Linked DNA regions of Mus musculus. The protein of the gene in region 1 interacts with the protein of each later gene in a pairwise test. Links are inferred from orthologs where the notes say so. Each region holds a gene or a part of one and is shown in the gene's direction. Other genes may lie near its edges.

The links. The genes of interacting proteins can lie anywhere in the genome.
Region 2: the proteins of Hoxa1 (region 1) and Fam221a interact in binary tests that used the Homo sapiens proteins (3 or more experiments, as listed by UniProt). The link is inferred for Mus musculus from reciprocal best matches to the Homo sapiens genes HOXA1 and FAM221A.
Region 3: the proteins of Hoxa1 (region 1) and Trim42 interact in binary tests that used the Homo sapiens proteins (3 or more experiments, as listed by UniProt). The two-hybrid records come from large-scale screens. The link is inferred for Mus musculus from reciprocal best matches to the Homo sapiens genes HOXA1 and TRIM42.

The regions. Positions count from the first base shown.
Region 1 is NC_000072.6:52,155,606-52,159,357, reverse strand, and holds the start of Hoxa1 (homeobox protein Hox-A1), read left to right. Parts: upstream 1-1,040; 5' UTR 1,041-1,136; coding exon 1,137-1,791; intron 1,792-2,268; coding exon 2,269-2,624; 3' UTR 2,625-3,752. UniProt on the Homo sapiens protein: Sequence-specific transcription factor. Regulates multiple developmental processes including brainstem, inner and outer ear, abducens nerve and cardiovascular development and morphogenesis as well as cognition and behavior.
Region 2 is NC_000072.6:49,374,093-49,377,744, forward strand, and holds part of Fam221a (protein FAM221A), read left to right. Parts: intron 1-2,011; coding exon 2,012-2,202; intron 2,203-3,652.
Region 3 is NC_000075.6:97,356,453-97,360,104, reverse strand, and holds part of Trim42 (tripartite motif-containing protein 42), read left to right. Parts: intron 1-787; coding exon 788-1,012; intron 1,013-3,652.

The DNA.
Region 1 (3,752 bases):
TGGGTCTCTAAGAGTTGGCAGATGGCCTGCAGCTCAGGCTCGGCCCTCACGCCAGTCAGCCACGTCTGCTGGCGTCAACAATCTCCTTTGCCTTCTACTCCTTAAACTCCAGTAGCAGAGTTGCCCCGATTTTGCAGGGCTACCAAGAGCAAAGCGACAGAGAAGGAGAGAGGGCAGAGAAGAGAGTGGACACCCGGCCTTTCCCAGAGAGCTGGGTTCGTAGCCCCCCCCACCCCCACCCCCACCCCCGAATCCCGGGACCCTGGGGTCGAATTACAGAAGCTCCCATTGCCATGCTATTGGCCGGCAGGAATCAGGGAAGAGGGCTCTAAGACCCTTTGGATGAGGACAGAAGTTTCTTTTCTTGCTTTGGTCCCCAGCACATTCACCATGGTTCCTCCCAGTCAATCCTCTGCGCACGTCCCTCTACATTCCGAGGCTGGCGAGCCAGTGACGCAACCTCGCCCTAGGCGCCGGGATTCCGGGCTCAGGTCTCTTGCAGGGGTTGGGTAGTGGCGGCCGCCCCGAGCTGAGGGCGTGGTGTCTGTTGGATTCCCACCCTTCCCACCCCGCGTGCTCCCAGCTCCGCCAGGGTCCTTGCGACCACGCAGAGATTTTCGGCCCACAAGATGCCCGCCACAAGAGAGCCAGGAGGCCTCATCCCCTCTCACCTCTTGCCAGTTCAGCTTTCTGGGCTGGGTGGGGAAGGGGCCGCGGAGGGGGCCTCCCATCCCCCCACATCTGGTGGCGGAGGCGCGCAAAGCCGGGCGCGCGCAGAAGGCAGTCTCGACTCCCTTTGGTCCCAGTGCTCCAAGTCAGCTCCGGGAGCGGCCGCTGCTACCGCCGCGGCCCGGGCTGCCTGGGGGGGCGAGCGCGCGTCACCTACACTGAGGAGCGCCGGGGATTTAAATGCCACTGAAACGGTGATCCATCACGGCCGCAGCCGGTAAACTTTCGCAGGCGGCTCAGCCATTGGCTGGTAGAGTCACGTGTCCTCCCCTCGAGCCCTCCGCCTGCCCGCCCCGCCTCTTGCGCACTGTACATTCATATCATTTTTCTTCTCTGGTCCTATGGAGGAAGTGAGAAAGTTGGCACGGTCACCCAGGGCTTCGCAGGATCCAATCACTCAGTGACAGATGGACAATGCAAGAATGAACTCCTTTCTGGAATACCCCATCCTTGGCAGTGGCGACTCTGGGACCTGCTCGGCGCGAGCTTACCCCTCTGACCATGGGATTACAACTTTCCAATCCTGCGCGGTCAGTGCCAACAGCTGCGGCGGCGACGACCGCTTCCTAGTGGGCAGGGGGGTGCAGATCAGCTCGCCCCACCACCACCACCACCACCACCACCATCACCACCCCCAGACGGCTACTTACCAGACTTCTGGAAACCTTGGGATTTCTTATTCCCACTCGAGTTGTGGTCCAAGCTATGGCGCGCAGAACTTCAGTGCGCCTTATGGCCCCTATGGATTAAATCAGGAAGCAGACGTAAGTGGTGGGTACCCCCCGTGCGCTCCCGCTGTTTACTCTGGAAACCTCTCGACTCCCATGGTCCAGCATCACCACCACCACCAGGGTTATGCTGGGGGCACAGTGGGCTCGCCCCAGTACATTCACCACTCATATGGACAAGAGCAGCAGACTCTGGCCCTGGCCACGTATAATAACTCCTTATCCCCTCTCCACGCCAGCCACCAAGAAGCCTGTCGTTCCCCTGCTTCAGAGACGTCTTCTCCAGCGCAGACCTTTGACTGGATGAAAGTTAAAAGAAACCCTCCCAAAACAGGTAAGTCCTGCCGGCTGACAGACAAATGCTGTTCGATTTTTGAAAGGGGCTGGCACACCTAGTTTCCTAGGAAAATGAATGATTTTTAAAAGATTGGTTCTTGTTTATGTCTAATGTCATCTAGAGTTGTAGTGAGTGGTGTAGGGTGCCCAGGTGTGCAGAGGCAAAAGCGTTTCACAGGGGCTGAGGTTTAAATGGTCTATAGTTAGATAGTGTGCGGGGAGTGGGAGGTGGTGATGGTGGTGATGGTGGTGATGGTGATGTCCTGTTAATATCTACAAGGCTCCATTAATCACGAGCCTGATCACACTAATGGTTGACTTCAGGTTAACACTGCTTACACATCGTCACTGGCGCTTCCCGATAGGGTTTGTGCTCGCTGAGTAGTTAACCGAATATTGCCTCAAGCTTGGGGCAATCTGGATAAAGGTTTAAGATTTTTTTTTTAATCTTTTCTCTCTTCCTCCCCTACCCTAGGGAAAGTTGGAGAGTACGGCTACGTGGGTCAACCCAACGCAGTGCGCACCAATTTCACCACCAAGCAGCTCACAGAGCTGGAGAAGGAGTTCCACTTCAACAAGTACCTTACACGAGCGCGCAGGGTGGAGATTGCCGCGTCCCTACAGCTCAATGAGACCCAGGTGAAGATCTGGTTCCAGAATCGCCGCATGAAGCAGAAGAAGCGTGAGAAGGAGGGGCTCCTGCCCATCTCCCCTGCCACTCCTCCTGGCAGCGATGAGAAAACGGAAGAATCATCTGAGAAATCTAGCCCCTCGCCCAGTGCCCCTTCTCCGGCATCGTCTACCTCAGACACTCTGACTACCTCCCACTGAGGCTACTCCAGCCCAACTCTGCAGCCCAGGCTTCTCCCTGGGCTGGGATTTCTTACCCAAAGCACATTCTTAGCTTATCTTCCTTTCTTTACAGACTCTCTCTTCCTTTCTCGTCCCATCTGGGGAGCTCCTGGCCAAGATAAGGTATTTCCAGAGAATTCTGGAGCCTTGGTTGGAAGTTAACTCCTTCATCCACATCGGGTGTCCACATCAATTGCTGATGGCTCCCAACATCCTTTCCTTCACTGTTGTGAGATTTTTTTCTCCCCACAACCTATGATTCCTTTTAGATGTCGGCTGGAGAACAGTTAGTTCCCTTTGCCATCAGACATTTGCAGGAAGGAGGCATCTCTCCTTTTATCTATGTATTGTTCTTCTCCACCTAGCCCTTAAGTAGGACATAGAGGAGAGAGAGTGTCCAAAGACTCATGAAGAAGAGATGCACTGTGTTTACACAATTAATTCACCCCCTAACTTAGCTGGTTTCATGTGTGTGAGTTTGCTGGTTGTAAATGCTTTCCCGTCAGAGATTTATCTTTATACACATTTTATAGAAATATGTAGGTCACTAAATCAAACAGGGTGGACAAATTCTCAAAACTGGTACAGTTCATGTGTGATTATGGGCGAAAGAAGAAAACCTCTTTCATTCAAACAGAGTCAGATGCCTCAGAAGTTGGCCTCAATTGGTTCTTTCAGAGTTAAGAAGGCCTGCCAAGCACTTTGCCTGTGCCAGGTCTTCCCAAACTCTAACCAATTCTTCCTGCTTCTCTGGCCACCCTGCATTTAAAAATCATGCTGGATCATTTGTAACCCAAAGGTATTCATTCTTTCAGTCACCCTTTCCTTCCACACTGTCTTGTATCATGGCTGGATCCAGTGTATTTCCAGCTAATTGTTAATGTGATGGATGGCACAATGAATGTATATTTTGTGTGATTCGTGACTAGTCTTCTGCATGTCGCACAATGTTCTGATGTCCCTGAAATATCACACTGAGTTCTATCAGTTATTCTTTGTGAGCCTATGATAGTCTCCATTTACTGTACAATCATGAACAGCTCTGAGATCCTGGAGTGATGTGGTCCAGAGCAGAGTTTACGGGTCTTAAGATGTCTGTAATAAAAG
Region 2 (3,652 bases), about 2.8 Mb from region 1:
CTAGTTGCTGTTTACAGAGTTGCTACAGAGTTACAGTAGTTGTTAGGCAGTTGCTAGGATGAGTAATGTGTATAGATTGCCTCTCAGCTTACCTAGAAACCCTGACTAAAGACACCAGGGAGGAGTGGAGGGTGATGGCTACATGTTTATATCTGTCAAAACTGTAGGGCACGGGCAAACCTGTGGTAGTCTTATAATCTGTGCTTGTGAACATTTAATGTCAGTTTCTGTGTGGAATTTGTACAGCCTGAATATGATCCTCAAGATTCAACCCAACTGCAATGAAGACATTACTCTGTAGTATTCATCACTTAATAAAATTCCTATCCAATGTGTGTCTTTCTGTTTATAAAAAATGGGGAGTATACAGAATGGTAGCCGGACGCTGACCACCCAGAGCCTGTCCGTACTTTTCATTTTATCTGTGTAATTTCCTCTTTGCCTTGTTTATTTAGTTTCATATTCTGTGCATGTATAAATTATAAGCACTGTTTTTTTCATGATTGAGTCACAGAAAATGTGTATGTGCATAGCCATTAGTAATCTGAAGGCAGGTTTTATAATTGCTCTGTGTTCCAGCTAGTCCAGTGGTGTTCACTGTTGTTCTCGAAGCCATGAGCGAGACTCAGGCATGTGCCAGGCAGAAAGGCAGGTTACACAAATGGGGATTCCAATTCCTGTCCTTCCCGGGCCTAACCGACTCAACTTCTAAATTATCACATATATAGTATTGTGATTTGGTAAAGGCTTTTATCTAAACAGAGGGCTTTGTTGCTTAAAAAAATGTGAAGATGGCTCTCTAGAAATGGATTTATGCATTCTGCTAGTGCATTTACTATTGATAACACCACCTTAAAGTCAAACCCTAATCTATATATATGTAGAATTATTTTTTAAGAGTGTATTTTCCAAAATGAATTCTAGGGTTAAAGGATGAAAGTTTTAGAGTTTCTTGAAATAAGTAAATTACATTAAAGTTATATTAAACTTATTTTAGGTTTAGATAGCAAAGGATAAAAATAAATTTAAGTGATGCACTTTAATGAAGACCATTCTTTGTAAAAATCTTGCATTTATTTATCTGTTCATTCATTATTTCTTTACTTATGTGTATGTGCATGCATGGGGGTCAGTGGATCCAGGGATTAAACTCAGGGCATTAGGCTCGGCAGCAAGTGCCTTTATCCACTGGCACATCTCACAGGCCCTTTTAGCTTTCTTGGTGTGCTAGGGTACTCACTGTCTTATACACAGTAGGCAAGTGATCTATCACTAAGCTGTATAATTTTATATGATTTTATAGTGCGTGTGTATGAGATAGAGAGATAGGTGACACAGGCCTGCTCTGCCACAGTGTGGATGTGCACAGGACCACTTAAGGGGAGTGGTTCACTCCTCCCACCATGTAGATTTTAGGTTTCAAAATAAGGTCATTGGATTTGGCGGCAGACCCCTTCCCTGACTTGCCACTTCCCTCGCACCTTAATATTTTGACAGGGTTTTGCTGAATAGCCCAGGCTGGCTTCAAACTCATGATTCTCCTGCCTCTGCTTTCTGAGTGCTGAGGTCGTACGTGTATACCACTGCACCCGACTCAGTAGAAACCTGCTATAAAGAGCTGTTTTGTGTGGCTGGTTATATTTTAGTAGTGGAACAAACATGATGTCTTAGGTTTGATTTCCAGCACAGTCCCTATAAAATTAGGAACATTCTCTTCTACTGAGGATATGCATCCCAGACTAAAGAACTGCAATGGCAAGGATTTTAAGGGATTTATATTTCTTCATACAGTTGTGAAACTTTTTAAATAATCAAAAATTAAAATCTGAAAACGTGAAGGCTCCTGACTAAAGCTGTTAGAAGTGTCCATGTAGGGGTTTACTTACCATATTAATATAAATAGATAACAAGAGATAAAAACAGAATCAAAATAATTACGTATGCATCTAATAGACACCAAATTGTAATGTTTGACAACATCCAAATGTGTTTGTGTTTCTATTTTCTAAAGGTATAAACAGCACAAAACTGACTTTGAAACGATCCCACAGCAGCGTCCCATTGCCCTGCCGTGCCGAGTGAGTGGTTGCCGGTGCAAGGCTTACCACTATGTCCCTCTGAATGGTACCCAGCCTATTCGCTGCAGGTGCAAGCACTTTGCTGATCAGCACAGTGCCGCTCTTGGCTTCACATGCAATGCCTGTAAGTTCCATTCTTATGCGAAGTTGCAGAGTGCTCTAAGTTCTTCATTAAATACTTATTGGATTTGACAGTTCATTTAGTTACAAAGTCAATATTTAGCTACAAAGTAAAATTCAATGCGTGGAGACTCAGTTCTTGGAATGTTTGAAGTTCAGTCATTATAAGTAACAGGGATAGATTTTAAAGAATTACTAGACAAGACCTGATTATTATTATTATTATTTCATTTTTATTTTTGGAGACAGGGTTTCTTTGTGTTGCCTGGCTGTCCTGGAACTAGCTCTGTAAACCAGGCTGGCCTCGAACTCACAGAGATCCATCTGCCCCCTGCCTCCTGAGTCGCTGGAATTAAAGACATGAGCCACCACTGCCTGGCTCAAAAGTTGTTTTTTGTTGTTTTCTAAATTTATTTTAATTTAATTTTATGCCTATGGGTATCTTGTCTACATGTGTATCTTGTACCGCATGTGCTCTTGGTACATGTGAAGGCCAGGAAAAGGATACCTGGAACTAGACTTATAGATGGCTGTGAACTGCCCTGTGGGTGCTGGGTTCTCTATAGAAGAGCAGTAAGTGCTCTTAACCACTGACACATCTCTCCAGCTCTGGTGAAGTTTTCAGTAATGGGGTGGAGTAAAGCAGTAAATAATAATTATTATTCTTATGGAGGACCTAGGTTCAGTTCTAGCACCTACATGATGCCTTTCAACCATTTGTAGACAGACATTGTACACATTCATACATTTAGACAATCACGCATACACACAAACATAAAATAAATCTATAAAAATAATAAAAATGTTTTTTAATGAGAATTTTATTAATCTGGTCCCTTTTTTTGCTGTGGCAGTTGATATTGGGTGGGCATTGATCCAAAGATCTCATGAATACTAGGCAAGGCCACTGAGCTACACCCCCAGTCTTAAATGAATTCTTTACAGACTTTTTATTTTTTGGTTGATTTTTTCGAGACAGGGTTTCTCTGTATAGCCCTGGCTGTCCTGGAACTCACTTTGTAGACCAGGCTGGCCTCAAACTCAGAAATCTGCCTGCCTCTGCCTCCCGAGTGCTGGGATTAAAGGCGTGGCCACCACCGCCCAGCTTCGTTATAGACTTTTAATTTTTTTTTTTTTTTTTTTTTTTTTTTTTTTTTGGTTTTTCAAGACAGGGTTTCTCTGTATAGCCCTGGCTGTCCTGGAACTCACGTTATAGACTTTTAAAAAAGTGATTTTATAATTTAAAAAAAAAAAAAGCAACAACCTGACAAACATTTCAGATTTTCTGACTGTGGGTGCTCAGACAGTAAATTCTACATGTAGTAGTTCCAGGTCAGTGAACAGATCTGAAGCATTTCTTACTGCAAGCAGTCTGGCTAAAGAGAACTCAACCTGGGAAACAGTTTACTGACAGTAGCAGAGTGACTGATTCATCCGACAAGCATGGAATTAGT
Region 3 (3,652 bases), on another chromosome or scaffold:
CTTCCACTGTGGGGCTCCTGGGAATCAAACTCCAGGTTGTTGTCGGGCTTAGCAGCAAGCACCTTTACTCTCTGAGCCATCTTGCTGGCCTCTATGGGCAGTTTTTTTGACTGTATAAGACAGATGAACTGTAAGTTAAGAGAATAAAGCAGAGCCTTGCAATCCCAATCCCTGCATGAGTGTGCTTGCATCTCCCCCGGCAGGAGAAAGACTTACAGGAATCAATGTGTGGATTAGGGGAGATGTTTATTTTCTTCCCTTATACTTCTGTATTTCCAAAGCATGTTACCATAAATGTTCTTCTTGTTTTGATCATCAGAAAGAATGATCAAATCAGAATAACTTCATTATGCTATGTGATTTCATTTATAAAAGCTAGTACACGTGAAATTATACATTAACTGTGCCTTATGGCATTTGACTTTAGCAAAAAAAATATAATAAGGGCAGTAGAAATATGCTTTTAAAATACAATTTTTTTTTAAAGTTCAGGGTCATCAACATGGTGGCACTTACCACCAAACCTAACAACTTGGGTCCTATTCCAAGGATCCACATAGTAGGAAAAGAAAACAGATGCCAGCAAGTTGTCCTCTGACCTCCACATAGACTCCATGGCATTTTGAGTGTGCAAAATCTACAATCGTCTACAAATTCTACAGCTCTCAGCAGCCGTAGAAGAATGGGTCAGCTTAAGCACAGCCCACAGACGGGCTACCGCACAAATCCTAGGGGAAGGACAGAGCAGTGTGTGTTGGTGCCATGCTCATACCCCCACTTCTCCTAGGTTTACTGGACGTGCCCAACAGAAGACGTGGACTCCTTTGAGATGGAATTCTATGAGCTCGTTACCACCCCTCCTAATAATGTGCGCACAGAGCTCTGTGGACAAATTCGCGACATCCTGCAGCAGAACCTGGAGCTACACAACCTGACCCCCAACACTGAGTATTTGTTCAAGGTTAGAGCCATCAATGATAATGGTCCCGGGCAGTGGAGTGACATCTGCAAGGTACTGTGTACATTGACTTCTTAGGCTAAACGTTTTTCCTATTAATTTTACTGGAGAATCCCACATATGCACACATGCCCACACATGTACTCACACATGCATGCCATAGTACACAGACAGATGTTAGAGGTTCGATCTGAGGGCCTCAGGCTTGTCAAGAACCTTTACCAGCTTTATCAGATGGGAATGCCTTCATAGAATCAGGATTTGGCTTAACGAGGCTTCCTAGATCAGCAGAGACCGCCGAGAATTCTGCCTCTAAGCCCAGAAAGCTGGTTAACTCTCAGCCAATGACAGTGTCTCTCATCTCTGGGTCCAGGGATCATAGGTTCTGCTGAACTCAAAACTTTGCATTAGGATACAGAAGTTCAGAGTATGACCAAGCATAACCCCTCCTTCCACCACAGTCAGGGACTCGCAGTCATTGTATGAGAAGAGTAAGAAATAATTGCAGTGGGGGAATTCCAAAGGAACAATGCTCCCTGTGAAGACGACAAGGTGTGAAATCTAGCAAAGATGCACAGCAGCCAATTAAATCAGCATTTCTCACAGAGGACAATTGAAGCTTGTAGTACAAGAATATCCCATGTAATATTTAAAACATATTTATACTAAAACTACTTTTGGTTTCTCTGGTAGTTAAAAAAAAAAAAAAAAAGACACGGAGCAGGTCAGGTTGGCTCCATGAAGCAAAGGAACAAACTATGGTTGTTGTGATGGAGAGCTGATGCTTATCTGAATTCCCAGTGACGGCACACTCATGAGTGCCATTGTAATGACATTGAGAATACTGGGACAGGCAAGAGCTATCGTACTATATAACTGTGGAGGTGTTCTTTGCAATCAAATAAGATTTCGAGGTTCTTTAAAAGTAAAAAAAAAAAAAAAAAAAAAAAAAAAAAAAAAAGTCCAGGACTATTCATTTAGGGTTTAGAAGAAGGGAGATATATGGCACCGAGAGGGGGAAGCCTTGAAAGACCTCTAAGACACACCTAGAAGAAACATATCTGTCAAATCTGATGTCCACAGAAGCTAGAAAGTTATCACCCTTCCCTCTCCTTCCCTCCCTCCTCTCTTTTCTCTTCCCCTTCCCTTCCCATGCCCCTCCTCTTCCTTCTTCCTCTCTCCTCCCTCCCATCTCCTCCTCTCCTCTCCCTTCTCCTTTACCCTTCCCTTCCCCTCTTGCCCTCTCGCTCCCTCTTCCTCTCTCCTCCTTCTCTCCTGTCCACTTCTCTCTCAATCAGCCTCATTTTGAGTCGCCCCTAAGTTTCTGCTCCACTAAGCCCAGCTTTTATGTACTCTTGGGTTGTCTCCACCCATGCTCTGAGTGGTCTGAGCACTCAAGGCCATTGGATCGGGTTAATTGCACTTTAGCAATCTGGTCAGATGTTTGAGGGTTTGGCTGTCCCTTCTAACAATGTTGGAGAATAGGAAGGAAGTGGGGTTGTGCTATCAGTAGCAGTTCTGCAGAGTGGGGCTATTCTCCTGGTCATGCTTCCCCACCCCCCGATCCCCCCCAAACCCCCACCCCCCAACCCCCACCCCCACAGAAGTTGGACACTTCCATGCCAAGGAAGTGCGATGAGAGAGCCTGCCTGGCTGCTCTGCTAGCTGTTCCTCTGCCAGCCTCTCAGCCTGTGTGGCAGTTGCCACAGGGACCTTCTCTCTCCAGAGCCCCGAAGCCTCAGACCTGTTGCTATGTTTTCCATTCCATGCTCTCGACTATGGATTTTGCTTTTAATCTGATTCCATCTGCCTTCTCAGCCTTTAGAATCCTGCAGAAATGTCTTACTCACGAAGGGCACTCAGTAGCTGTTAATTTTTTTAATGAATCATCTGTCATCTCTAGATGTGAGGGAGGATTGGGGACAGATAGAGAGATCGAGGCGTGTCGTCAGTCCGCCACCTTACCCTCCTGGGTCTTCTCATCTCTCTCCCACTATGACCTCCTTGCAAACAAAATTCTTGCCTAATTCATCTTTCTCTCTCCTGTGGTGCTTACCGAAGCAGTTTGCACACAGCAGCCTCTTAACGGTTATTGAACGGAAACATGAGTAAAAATGTAACCAAACAAATGAATGTATGGGCGAATGTCTAAATTAAGGACTGAAGGAGTAAATTGATAAATAAAATTAATAATCACAAAGTATCATAAGATGCCTGAAGGCAGAATGTTTTATACAGTCAGTCAAGGAATAGCCTTCCCCTAAATCTGTCCTTATGCGATTAATTTGCCCCCCTATGAAAGAGAGGGAAATGCATGCCTGTCTCTTTGCTTTTCCTCACAATATCTAAATGAGCAGAACCCTAATTAATGAGGTTTTCTGGAAGCTTCATTTTTATCTGACTCAAAGAGCTACAGTATAGATTTTTCCTTCAGAAGTACTTCTCCCTCCCTCCTTTGCAATTCTATTAGCATTCCGAGGAAACGCTGCCTTCCTTAACATTTGTCATGATTTGCATAAGTAAAGGCTTCACCAGCAAATGAAAATAAGATGGTGTGTTTGAATGACATTTATAAAGCTTCATAAAAGTAATGGCTTTAGCTCTTTCCTATAAAATCGAAATTTTTTTCCTTTGGCACTGGTGTGCGCGTATCTCTGAAAGGTTTCATTTGAATGCTTCTAAGAGGTAGCATAG